2 linked regions of the Schizosaccharomyces pombe genome follow. The protein of the gene in region 1 interacts with the protein of each later gene in a biochemical or structural test. Each region holds a gene or a part of one and is shown on either strand. Other genes may lie near its edges.

Region 1 (7,571 bases):
TCTTCCTCCGTAGCCACAACTCCATTTTTTCCTTCAACTACTACTCTCTGCGAGCCTTTGTTTTTATATTTGAAGGAGCACCGTTGATTTGCAAAAAAAAGGTCGGGAGATAAAATTGGCCAGATGTATAAAGAAAGTATTGTGCCTGCCAAAACAAGAAATGTGACAAGAATAGAGGGACGAGAAGCCCGTTCTTCTAGAGCTGAAGTGGCTGATTTCTTATTAGATGATAAATGCCGATTTCCAGACTTCACATTTACAGAACTTCGAGCGATGGAAGCAGCCCCTGAACTCTGAGCAGAAGACGTATTGATACCCATCACAATTTAAAAAGTGCTGAAAATATCCAAAAAAAAAAAAACAAGGTATGAAATGGAATGAAATTAAATTTAAAAAAAATACCTTTACCAAGATTAAGGAATCTTGCACAAAACCTTTGAGAAGAGGGTATGGATGAAGAAAATGAAAAGAACTTCTAATTTAACAAATTTAATTTTTGGGGAAAAATGACCCAAAATGGACTAAAGAAAGCCAACCGCAACTTCTACACCTTTTTTTTACGATATTAGCATGAAGAAATCAACAAGGCTAATCAATAATTGAATAGCGTTAGCTTTAAATAAATTCAACGGAAGAAATCCTTGCTTCTCAAGAGAACGGCTCGAGTTTGCTGTGTGCGTGCAAGTTGAGAGAAATAAGCGGGAGGCAAATTGGTGGAGCAAACCACATATCTAATTTATACAACCGAAAACATGGTTTTGACTGTGAAGCCGGCAAAACTAACAAATGCATTTTACTGACTAAAATATCTTTCATATCTTTTGTTTTTAAAAACCGCATATTGGCAAAAAATTTCTAAATCGATAGGTAGATCCTTCGAAAATCCCAATTGATCGACTAGTAAGCGAGGCCGAATAATATGGCGATGAATGCACAATTCATTCAATGTTTATGAATGAGCACTTTGAAAATGGATATTCCATGAAAGATAGATAATAGAAAATCGGTATTAAATGTATTTGATTTTGTAGTCTTTCATCTATCTGTCTAATAATGGTTTGCAACATCGATGTTTATGATATTACAAATTGTTTTTAGGAACTTTTTTCTTATAGTTGATATAAAACTAATATAATAGGGTCGAAAGCGATTCATTTTAACTCATCGATTAATTCAAATTTTGATGTGTTAGTCTAATCCTGGATTTATTTACATGGGCAAAGATTTTTATCAAGGACAAATAGTATTTCAATGCCCAATTCATTTGGTTCCAGATTTTTTGAAAAACTTTTTTTTAAATGTTTTTATTTTCTTTCACATATACTCTGTTACCGATTCGATTTAAAATATTATTGAGCAAAAGCAGTATGCAAGGGTATTGGAATAATATTGACAAAAGCAAGGTATGAAACTTTAAAAAAAACAAATTAGATTTTATTTTATTTTTTTAAGTATAAGAGTTTACGTCTCGTTCTTTTACAGCAGCACCCCATTTTCGAATCGTATGTGTAACGAAATTTTTGAATTTAATTGTAAACATTACTTAAAATCAACACTGTTTTAAGATATTTTTTTGCTTTTTAAAAATAAGCAACAAGTTAAATAGAGACCGCTTTTATTGGAAACAGCAAGCATACACTTACCAAAACTCAACTCCTATTCTTATAACAGTTTTAGAGAGACATAATACTCGTTAGCATAATACACAGTCAAACAATAAAATAATAAATTGGTAATTGTTTAGTTACATTGTCTAGACAGAAAGAAGCAAGATGTGGGGAATTTCCGAGTTTTTACCTTGAGCTTTAACGAACAATTTTTAGCCCTTTAAAAATCGATACTTTAGTCGGTTGCATTCTCTACGTCGTTTTACTAATATAATCAACTCTCGTGCTGTGTTCGTTTTTTCAACTTTTGGTTGCTTCATAAAAACCATATTATTTATTTCAAACAAAGTAATATAACCTCGTCTGTACTAGCTGAATCCGATAAATGCCTTCAAACTTCATTCTTATATTTATTTCATACAATGATAATTTTGCTAACCCACACCCCTTCACTTACCCAGTCCCAGACACATCAAAATTTGCTCAAAATGGGTAAAGGTAAGTTCAATAAGATATTTTTAGGTTCTAATAAATCTTTAGTTTCTTTAAAAGATGAATTGGCAGGGATGCTAAACCCTCAACCGCAGGGTATGTTATTAACGAAAAATTCCGGGATTCTTACTCACATAAATAGAAAGAGACCCTGAAGCTTTAGAGGACGCATTCTCTGATAGAGAGGACTCTAGCGAAGAAGAAAACGATACCTTAGGGAGAGAACATTATGTTGATGTTAGGTATGTTCAAAATTTTTACTTTTGCGTATTTGAGCTTATACTAATGTTTCATATTTTATAGTGAAAGTAAATTACGCTCAAAACAGGCTCCTCAGTTAGACCCAAAATTTAAAGGAAGAAAAACGTCTCGCCAGGAATTACTTAATAGCGGTTCTTTAAACTCTCAATCTTCATCACCATCTGAAGAAGAAGATTCGGAGGAAGACGAAAATGATGCAGTTTCAGAAGATCACGAAAATTTTTCAAGCTCAGAAGCTTCATCAATTTCTGAGGAAAATGAAGATGACGACCAATCTTCTGCCATTCCTGAAAAAGACATGGATCGTTTAAAAAAGATTATAAATGGAGAGAAAAAGCTATCTGATCAAATTCGTACATCCGCCCTTGAAGACATGAAAAAGGGTTTAGCTTTGAAGGAGCAGATGCGTTTTTACGATAATGTTTTAGATACTAGAATCCGTCTTCAAAAAGGATGTAGTCAACTTCTTTCTTCCAGCAACCAACTTCAAGGTGATAAAGTAGAAGCCCGAGATGGTTTAGTATCTTTTATTCAACACACTTTACAGCTGAGGAAAAACTTACTTATTGACTCTGGAGTGGAAATTCTTGACAGTAGATCAAAAAGAAAAGAGAATCCTGTTAGTCTAGAAGAAATTGCTTTAGAAATGAATAACCTTGACGACTCTTTGAATGAGTGGAAAAATGATACTTTAACCAAATGGCATAATCGGGTTCAAGCAGTGCAAGGGATTTCGCAATCTAACAAATTCAAGGCTCTAAATCAAAGTATTGTTCAACAAATCGAAAATTCTATGATTAACAAGAAAGATTTGGTCGAGCGCACTAGAATTGATTACAGTGACCCTAACAACAAAACTTTCAATCCCGAAATTTACAACGACACGGATTTTTATCAATCATTATTGAAGGATTTCATTAATTCTAGAATGGCAGACTCTACTCGAGATGGCACTGTTCGTTGGATGGCTACAAAAAAGCAAAAACAGAAGAAAGAAAACGTTGATACTAAGGCATCCAAAGGTCGAAAAATAAGGTATCACGTTCATGATAAATTACAAAATTTTATGGCTCCCATTGAAGTGACTGTATGGCCGGATGAACAAACTGAAGATTTGTTTAGTAGTCTGTTGGGTCAACAATTAGATTTATCAGAGACAGCTAATGATACAAATACTTCAAACTTCGTGGAGAAGGATGATGAACTGATCTCTTCCAACGACGGATTTTCTCTCTTCGGTTGAAAATAAGCTTGTGCGTGTTGGATAAGCTTCACTATTTGTCTTTTTTTTAATATACGCAAGCTGTGCTAAACATTTAGGGTGCATGATTATTTTTACTTACAGTATATCTTTTTTCGGTTTTAAAAAGGGCATTCGCGGATTTTGGTTCTATTATAATATATTTCGTTTACAATTATTTAGGTTAATAAAAAAATTTAACATATATATGGTTACATAGATGGTCACAATGTCGGGCAATTACAAGTAATAAAGGGTTATCTTGGGCTGAAGGTTTTAGTTTTTGTGCACTTTAGTATTTTAAGCATAAAAGTATGTACGTTTATATGATGTACAGTTGAACTCTTTCTGCTGCAAATTAAAAGCAGCTATAAGTTTCTTCTTATTACAATTCATTGTGTATATACAGATTATTTTGCGATTGATGTTGGCCATTACACTTTCGTACAAATTTCGGCGCGCGTGTCTATACTAATATAAGTGCGTTAAAGCAGGTGCTAGAAAACACCACATTATAGATTTACCTCTGTATATACCAGTTTCAATTCTGTTTGTCAAAAATTGTCGAGATTTATTTACTTCTATTAGCATGAATTAAGAAATTAATCGTCATATCGACTAGAAACTATCGTTATTCGTTCAGCATTCGTCTACATCAATTCACGTACTGGTATATAAAATGGAATTCACTGTTTCAAATGTTAATCTTCGGGACCTCGCAAGGATCTTTACAAATCTTTCTAGAATCGATGATGCTGTCAACTGGGAAATTAACAAAAATCAGGTGTGTTGGAACTTTTTTCAAACCTTACTAAACATTGAAACTAATTGGTAAAGATAGAGATTACATGTTTAAATTCTTCTAGGTCAGGATTTAGCATGGTGACTTTAAAAAAGGCATTTTTTGACAAGTACATTTTTCAGCCGGATTCCGTCCTGTTGACGGGATTGATGACTCCTACAATACGTATTCGTACGCAAGTCAAGCCCATACTATCTGTGTTTAGAAACAAAATCTTTGATTTCATCCCGACTGTCGTCACTACCAATAGCAAGAACGGTTATGGCAGTGAATCTGCAAGCAGAAAAGATGTGATTGTCGAGAATGTTCAAATCTCAATCTCTACTGGTAGCGAGTGTAGGATTATATTTAAATTCTTATGCAAGCACGGTACGTAGTTTGTCCGTCTTATTATTTTATTTGCTCTACTAACGTTTATTCATCAAGGAGTGATTAAAACATATAAAATATCATATGAACAAACCCAAACTTTACACGCTGTTTTTGATAAATCTCTTAGTCACAATAATTTTCAAATAAACTCAAAAATTCTAAAAGATTTGACTGAACATTTTGGTCAGAGAACGGAAGAGCTTACAATTCAACCACTTCAAGAACGTGTTTTACTTACAAGTTTCACAGAAGAGGTCGTACATAATAGAGATATTTTGAAGCAACCTACCCAAACAACTGTTTCCATTGATGGTAAAGAATTTGAACGCGTCGCACTTAATGAGGGAGTCTCTGTTACCCTTTCTCTACGTGAATTTCGTGCTGCCGTCATTTTAGCAGAGGCATTGGGAAGCTCGATTTGTGCATATTACGGTGTCCCAGGAAAACCGATACTTTTAACTTTTGCAAAAGGGAAAAATTCCGAAATTGAAGCGCAGTTCATTCTTGCAACTGTAGTTGGATCAGATGAACAAGAGGTGTCATCTATGATGGGAAATAGATGGCAGCACAGTTCAACACCAGCTTCTCTGTTCAATTCAGTAGAGCGCAACAACTCATTGACTGCTGTAGCACATAATCCCCCTGGATCTATTGGATGGCAAACTGATGTATGTAATTCGGCTTTAGTACTAAGTACAATAATTTATTAACATTAACTTTATAGCAAAGTGACTCATCCAGAATGTTTAATTCTGCGCTTGACCGAAGCGACGAAACTAATGGCATTAAGGAGCCATCAACCACAAACGATGCTGGTCAATCATTGTTCTTAGATGGTATTCCTAATGAATCCGAGCTTGCTGCTTTTAATAATGATGTGAACGATGATGCCGAATTTGGACCAACGCAAGCTGAACAAAGTTATCATGGCATTTTCTCTCAGGAAGACTAGGAAAATCCTTCTTTGCTATGGTGTGTAAAATTATGAACATTTACAGGTGCTTGTGACAACCTCATAAAACACAGCACTCATATTATATAATGTACAATATTTATCAATAATTTAGTTTTTTTTAACTACAAAATTACCCTCATCATACGATACGTTACATAGTAGTTCTAATAAATCAATAAGATAGTGAATAATGTAACCCAATTAATTAAATTCCAATCCACGGCCTATAAAAAGTCTAATATACATTTTTGCATTTTCATCTGAATGCAAAATTTAAGTCATTACACGAACTCAAAGAAAGTTTTAAACTTGTTTCTTAATCAATTCGTTAATTTCTTCTCCACAATAGCCAGCCTTTCGACCCTCATTAAAATGTTTGACCTTTTTCTCCATCAAACTGTGTTTAACTGGAGTCAAAGTGAATGGCCATAAGAATTTAGTAACTTCCTTAAAATGAGAGCCTACATTGTAAATTTCATGAATGATATCTTCAATGGAAATAACATCATATTTGCCCAAGGCCTCCTCAATTAATGCATTATCAGAGAGAGCAATACGCTGACCATTGATCTTACCAAAGCCACGTTTATAAATGAGTTCACGAACAGAATGTAAATTGGGAATACCATACATAACATAAGGTTCGACGATTCGAAGCATTTGAGCAACGGCTTTATTATTTCGCACAAAAACGGCATTGTTAATTCGAGAAAGGCGTAATAAGCGCAGAACTTTGCGAATTTTAGGAGGCATATTCTTGACTCCGGCAATTCGAATAACGAAAAGAAGTTTTGTTTCATCAGGCACGAAAATGTCTCCTTTATTTTTCGCAGATCGATTTAACCTAATCCGTTCTCTTTCTCGTTGGCGGTAGTTATTAATAAAAGTCTCAGCCCTTTTGAAGGTTTCTTTACGATTTTTCTTCTGGGCCTGGAGTAAAATTAGTAAAATGTTTTTAACAATATATAAAAATTGATGAAGTCAAAGGTTTAAATTTAACCAATACAAAATATATGAATCAGCCGAAAGATGGTATTTTGGAGCAGCATCGTCGAAACTAGCAATCCAAGAGTGAAAGGTTCATCTTTTTCATATAAATATGTATATTATGGATATTTCAAACCTGTAGAACAAGCAATTCACATACCTCTTTTTTGGCAATAGCCTGCTCAACACGTTCTTTCCGAGTACGCTCATTGACCTTGCGCTTTTTTAAAAGCACCTCAGGTTCAAGCATAGTCTGTTGTACAACCGGTGCATCCTCCGCCATTTTATCGTCTGTTAGTAACGAGTAGAGGGCACGTTGGGACTATAGACAGACGAAAAATTATAGCTATGAAATGTGACTGCTTTAAGACACATAATGTTCTTCGTTACAATCCGCTAATAAGCGCAAAAAAATTTTGAAGCGATTTTCAAATAGGCTTTGAAATGTGTACTTAAAGGTAAAAAATGGTGTTTAAAAACTATGGCAAATTTAATTTGACAATATAACAAAAATTGCACAATAGTAGATTGCTCCTTCCATATCGAAGCATCTCTTTCTAATAACCAAGACCAAACTTTATCTAATTGACCTTGTACCATTGAAATTCATGTTTAAAAGATATACAAACGATTTTAATAGGAATATTATCAATGTTGAATGTAATCACCTGGTGCTCAAACTCCTCAGGGACGTGGGATATGGAGATGATAAATTTTGCACAACATTAATCGAAACAGTGCGAAAACACATGAGAAGTTGAATAATTGTATTATTAGCCCTTAACTTCTTAGGGTAGCCGTTTAAATGTCATTCATCCTAAACTGAAAAAAAAAATGTGACATTGATGAAATATA
Region 2 (4,839 bases), on another chromosome or scaffold:
GTCGGCGTCTAACTTTTGCAACCATTCGCGACGAGGCGTTGAACCGGGAGCAAAACCAAAATGGTGAACGACTGGTTCACCTCTGCGACGCTTTTGGGAAAGGTCAAAAGATTCACCCTTATATACAGTACCATAACCAAAACCACGCTCATGAGCAGATTTATTCAAAATCATAGCATCTTCCATATCGTAACCAGTGTATGAGATAACGGCAACAACAGCGTTTGTACCATTTGGATAATGATCGAGGCCATAGGTATTGTGAAGCTTAGGACGAACAACTGGTGTTTGTCCTGTTTGAAGACGATAAAGTTTGTTGTCAGTACGATAACGAAGGGCCGTACCAGGCGTACCCATAGTTTGTTTACCCATCTGACATTGATACATGTTACGAGGAGACTGGTTAAAGTCTGAGAATGGAGTCATATTGGCAACGATGGAGAGTACATTTGTGGGCGAATACTCTACATGAGTAGAAACTTTAGGAACGATTTCTTTAGGGAAACATGCAATATCCATGTAAACTTGCTCAAATGGACCAAGCATATCAAGTTCACCAGTAGAAATGTGCTTAACCGGTCGAACCATCCTTGCAGGATTGCTAAACAGATAAAGACCTGGATATTGCCCGTTATGAGACGGAGGCACATATCCAATTTCCAAATCTAAAGGGACCTTAGCAGGTTCAGTGGCAGTTCCATTACGCAACTTGACAGCATATTCAATTTTCATTAAACGTAGCACATCAGCAACGTGCTTAGCAAGTTTGTAAGTACACCAACCAACAATCTTTCCATCCAATTGTACGCATCCCCAACCAGATTCATGACCAACTACACTTGGAGGATCAACACCCAACGATAGCAAAAGTGATGGGATTTGACTTACATCAGAAGGATGGGTGACAATTTCACATTTTCTAGCCAAATGGTTTAAAAGACCACATGGAGAACCATCGGGTGTGTGAACTGGACACATGAAACCCCAAGCTTCAGGAAGCAATTTACGGACAGTAGTAGTTTTAAGCTCAGCAAAAAATGCACCACGGTGTACCATTCGAAAATGTGAAAGAAAGCGGTAGAAGTTCAACTTCTCGGCGACAACAGTGTAACCTGTAGCTTGTTGTAAATCAAGACCAGTATTGGAAACAAGGTTACCGGTACTCAAGAAATATTGTAATTTCGTTCCGATGTCATTGTTAATTTTAGAAAAGACACGGGTCAAGTATTTACGATCGGAGAAATCAACACCAGGCGCTGAGCGTCGAACATCCAAATTAATTTGAGCGCGGATGCTATTTAGCCAATCCTCAATCTTCTCCTTAAGAATTTGACCATAAAGAAAACCACCTAATAAAATTTCCTGATGTTGTGGAGAGTCAGGGTTATCGGCACAGCACTCTCCAGCTACAAGTGCATATAACTTGCGGATCATAAATAGGAGAAGGCGGAATTTATCCTTAGCTTCACGAAGGTGAACTAAAACAACCTTTTGTAAGAGAAAGCGGCCAACTTCAACATCAGTTAGGTCTTCAGCAACGCCGAGAACAACACGAAATTTGCTACCCAAATACTGAAGTGTTTCAGTTTGGGAGTAAAGACCATAGGACTTATAAGCTCTAAGCATAAGCTCAACACGATCCGTCAAGAAAGTATTTCCCAAATCTTTACCAACAATGCCCTCAAAAATTTCTTTATCGCTGGTTTCTAACAGGGCCTTAAGAATCATCATCGAAGGAATTAAATATTCGTTTTTACGCCAGTGAAAACGAAACATCGTAACACCATTGTTAAGATAATGAAGGGTGTTGGTTAAACTAGACTGGTCTGGACGGACACAACGAATAGATAAACCATACTGTGAGTAGCTAGTACCACGATTGGCAAAAGAAGGGCGAATGATGGCAGTAGGATGATTGCGCTTAGGTAAAATTAACATACGAATCAACTTCTCAATACCGTTAACGATAAAGTAACCGCCCATCTCTTCGCTCTCCTCTTTATGAGCAATAAGTTCGGCAGGAGACAATCCTTCCAGATGACATCTGTTGGACCGTACCATGATGGGAATCATGCCTACTTCACGCATTTCTGATTGTCTAGGGCCTCCATTGACACTCCATGAGAATTTAAGAACCAATCTTGATTTATAAGTAGTCAAACGCTCTCTGGCTTCAGCAGGGTAGACTTTGCGGTTAATAGAAGACCTTTCACGACTAGACAACATTGGCTTCGCAATTTGAACCTCATCAACGCGGAAGGAAATCTTATTTCCAAATTTCAATGCACCACCTTCTTCTTGTGTGATCGAGTCAAATGCACATTTCTCACCAATTTCCTTAACAGCATAGTTGAGTAGTCCGGCATTAGTAAGGGCGTTAAAGGAATCAACATGAGGTTTTACGGCCTTTTGCAAATCTGGAAAGCTCGTTCCGTCCTTGGGCGGATTTTTAAACGTCCTTTCTCGCTCTAACGTTTGGAATGACATCCCAGGTTTGCAGAGAAAATTTTGGCGGAGGACACCTGCTATATTCATACTAAATTGAGCGTTAAGCGAACACTTAACAAGCTTTAATGAAAAGCGGTAAAATGGTTTAAACATTAAGGCGCTGAAGTGCGGAATATGCAATAGTATAGCGTTGTTCATTCCACTGCCTAATTCAATTCTAATAGTAAATCGCTTTTTGGGTAGTGTTCTTGCTTGATTTTATTAATGAACGACTATCCATTGTCTTTGAAGAGTAATAGAAAAGGTAAAGTGTTATCGAAAGTGTACTCACTGTACGCTGACAGATAAGTTGGTGATCGACGCTACTAATATTTGATTTATACCGCAATTGAAGCTATAAAGAATTTGTTTATTGATATTTTAGAATGTCTCCTGCAAGTCCTTACTTGTTGCTTATCTCAGTAAATTCAAGAAGAAAAGCTTAAACACAAGTAACCATTGCCCTGTTACAGTTCATATCACCGATCAGTTGAATGAAACCTAATAAATATTTAATTTGCTTTGTCTTAGTATCTTAAAAAAAATCTTGTTAAAGGGCTTTTTTTTATCACTTTCAATATTTATTTTAGAAATAATTTCGTTATATACGATTCTAGTCTAGTCAATTCATATAAAATAAACGGATAACAAAAGCTCCCACTTTAAAAATCGCTTTCTTCAAAGATCTAAACTTTTTGGCCCGAGCTGTTTCTGCTTTTCAATAACGGAAAAGAAAAACATTGAATAAAATATATGTATCCTCAACCATTGAAAAAGCTTTTAAAAAGAACAACAATGGGTATATAATGAAAGCATTAGCTTCAATGTCTGGTAAAAACATAGCAAGCTTGTTCTACTATGGCTTTATTTTAGAGACTAATATCAGAAATTAAAAAATATTAATTTTTAGTTTCTACGCTTCGTAAATTAACCCAACCTATTTTACTTTCAAGACTCTTTCGATTTGCATTTTTGAATCCTGTATTATAGTAAACATATAGACTACAAATAGAAATGGAGTTGCGAGAGGGGAATTATCAACATAAATGGAATCCTGTAAGAAAAGAGATGAAAACATTAAACCGAAAAAAAAAGAACAAAGGTTTCATCAAGCCAACCAAAACCTGAAAATCAACGTCTAAATTAATAAGCATCAACAGACTCAGAAAAGTACTTTTTAGTTAAATGATAACTTGAAATCATGATTGCACAGGACGGTGCAACTTTAACACATCTAGGCAACGTGCCTTTCCACAAGGCCTTGGGACCACCTCGCTTCCATAAGGTTAACATAAACTGACCTCTGGTTAACGTATGTCCATGCACCTGCTTAGCAGTTTTTGATACATCGAAAGGTTGAGTTAATAGGGTTGCTAGAGTCCCACTAATTCCTCCGCTCACAAAATTGATATAGAGGTCCTTTGTAGATTGAGAGCTGGAAAATGCTTGAAGTGATGGATGCCCAAGCAGGAAGAGTCGAATTCTCTCATACGACCACCAGTAAAATGCACTGAATGGTACATCTCTCCACAACGTTACGCTGACACCGCTCCATAAATTCAGTATACCTTTTTGATGAATCATTAATTTCAATCCATCAAAGACCTCATTAGCAATCTCGCGCGCATGGCCGGGCGGATAATGGCCGCCTACTGCTTGCACTCGAGTCCTGAATAATTCTATAGGAGACACAATAGTAGCAGATATTGTGCGCGCAGATGCTCCTGCGATTGCAGCAGCAGCAGGAAAGCCCCAATCACTGTATAAGGGAAGTAATTGCTCATACCCAAGAAACTGTACAGTGTTTGCTGGCAAGAGCATTGTCAATGAAGGAACTAATCCACGCCACAAGCTTCTAACACCTTCATGCCGAGCGATCTGATAAAGTCCGGATACCGGGCCTCCTAAAGGCTTTGGAGCTGGCCTTCCCTTCCCCAATATCTTTGCTGAAGAAATGGGTTGCGTAGAAGAATATTGAGAAATAGATTCACTCTGCAAGCGGGTTTTCACAACATCTAAAGGCGTTACAGTCAGCGTTGTAATTACACTTCCTACACAAGCTGACAGCATTTTCGCTATAGGCTTCACATCGGGCTCAGCATTCACCGACAAGTCAGCTTCTACGCCTTCTGTCGCAGCTCCTATCTGCATGTATTCTCTCTGACTCTGTTTGTGTTCCTGTCATCTTCATTACGAAGCACCGTCCTTTCATCTACGAAGTCGTAGTTAAACTTCATTAAACCAAATAACGTTATGCAATGCACTATCATATATCTGGTCTGAGAGTTCTGTCTTAATAAGGTAGAAACGGCTATGGTACTTAGAACAGTCAATTGAATGAAGATGTCGTAT

The links. The genes of interacting proteins can lie anywhere in the genome.
Region 2: the proteins of rad9 (region 1) and rpa2 form a complex in vitro, tested with the Schizosaccharomyces pombe proteins (one study listed by BioGRID).

What each region holds. Positions count from the first base shown.
Region 1 is NC_003424.3:1,712,245-1,719,815, reverse strand, and holds rad9 (checkpoint clamp complex protein Rad9), read left to right. Parts: upstream 1-4,099; 5' UTR 4,100-4,279; coding exon 4,280-4,384; exon of another isoform or gene 4,385-4,437; coding exon 4,438-4,771; exon of another isoform or gene 4,772-4,828; coding exon 4,829-5,442; exon of another isoform or gene 5,443-5,498; coding exon 5,499-5,726; 3' UTR 5,727-5,896; downstream 5,897-7,571. Other genes in the region: gamma-glutamyltranspeptidase Ggt1, read right to left, coding at 1-320; bfr2 (traub family ribosome biogenesis protein), read left to right, coding at 2,096-2,105, 2,148-2,195, 2,242-2,341, 2,403-3,603; ribosome biogenesis protein rlp7, read right to left, coding at 6,033-6,659, 6,877-6,999. UniProt on the Schizosaccharomyces pombe protein: Acts in DNA repair and mutagenesis. Involved in promoting resistance to ionizing radiation and UV light, as well as regulating cell cycle progression after irradiation. Repressor of entry into mitosis that is activated by chromosome breaks.
Region 2 is NC_003423.3:2,005,767-2,010,605, reverse strand, and holds the start of rpa2 (DNA-directed RNA polymerase I complex subunit Rpa2), read right to left. Parts: upstream 2,521-4,839; 5' UTR 2,488-2,520; coding exon 1-2,487. Other genes in the region: mtm1 (Mn(2+) ion transporter), read right to left, coding at 3,631-4,638; SPOM_SPBP23A10.17 (uncharacterized protein), read left to right, coding at 4,825-4,839. UniProt on the Schizosaccharomyces pombe protein: DNA-dependent RNA polymerase catalyzes the transcription of DNA into RNA using the four ribonucleoside triphosphates as substrates. Second largest core component of RNA polymerase I which synthesizes ribosomal RNA precursors.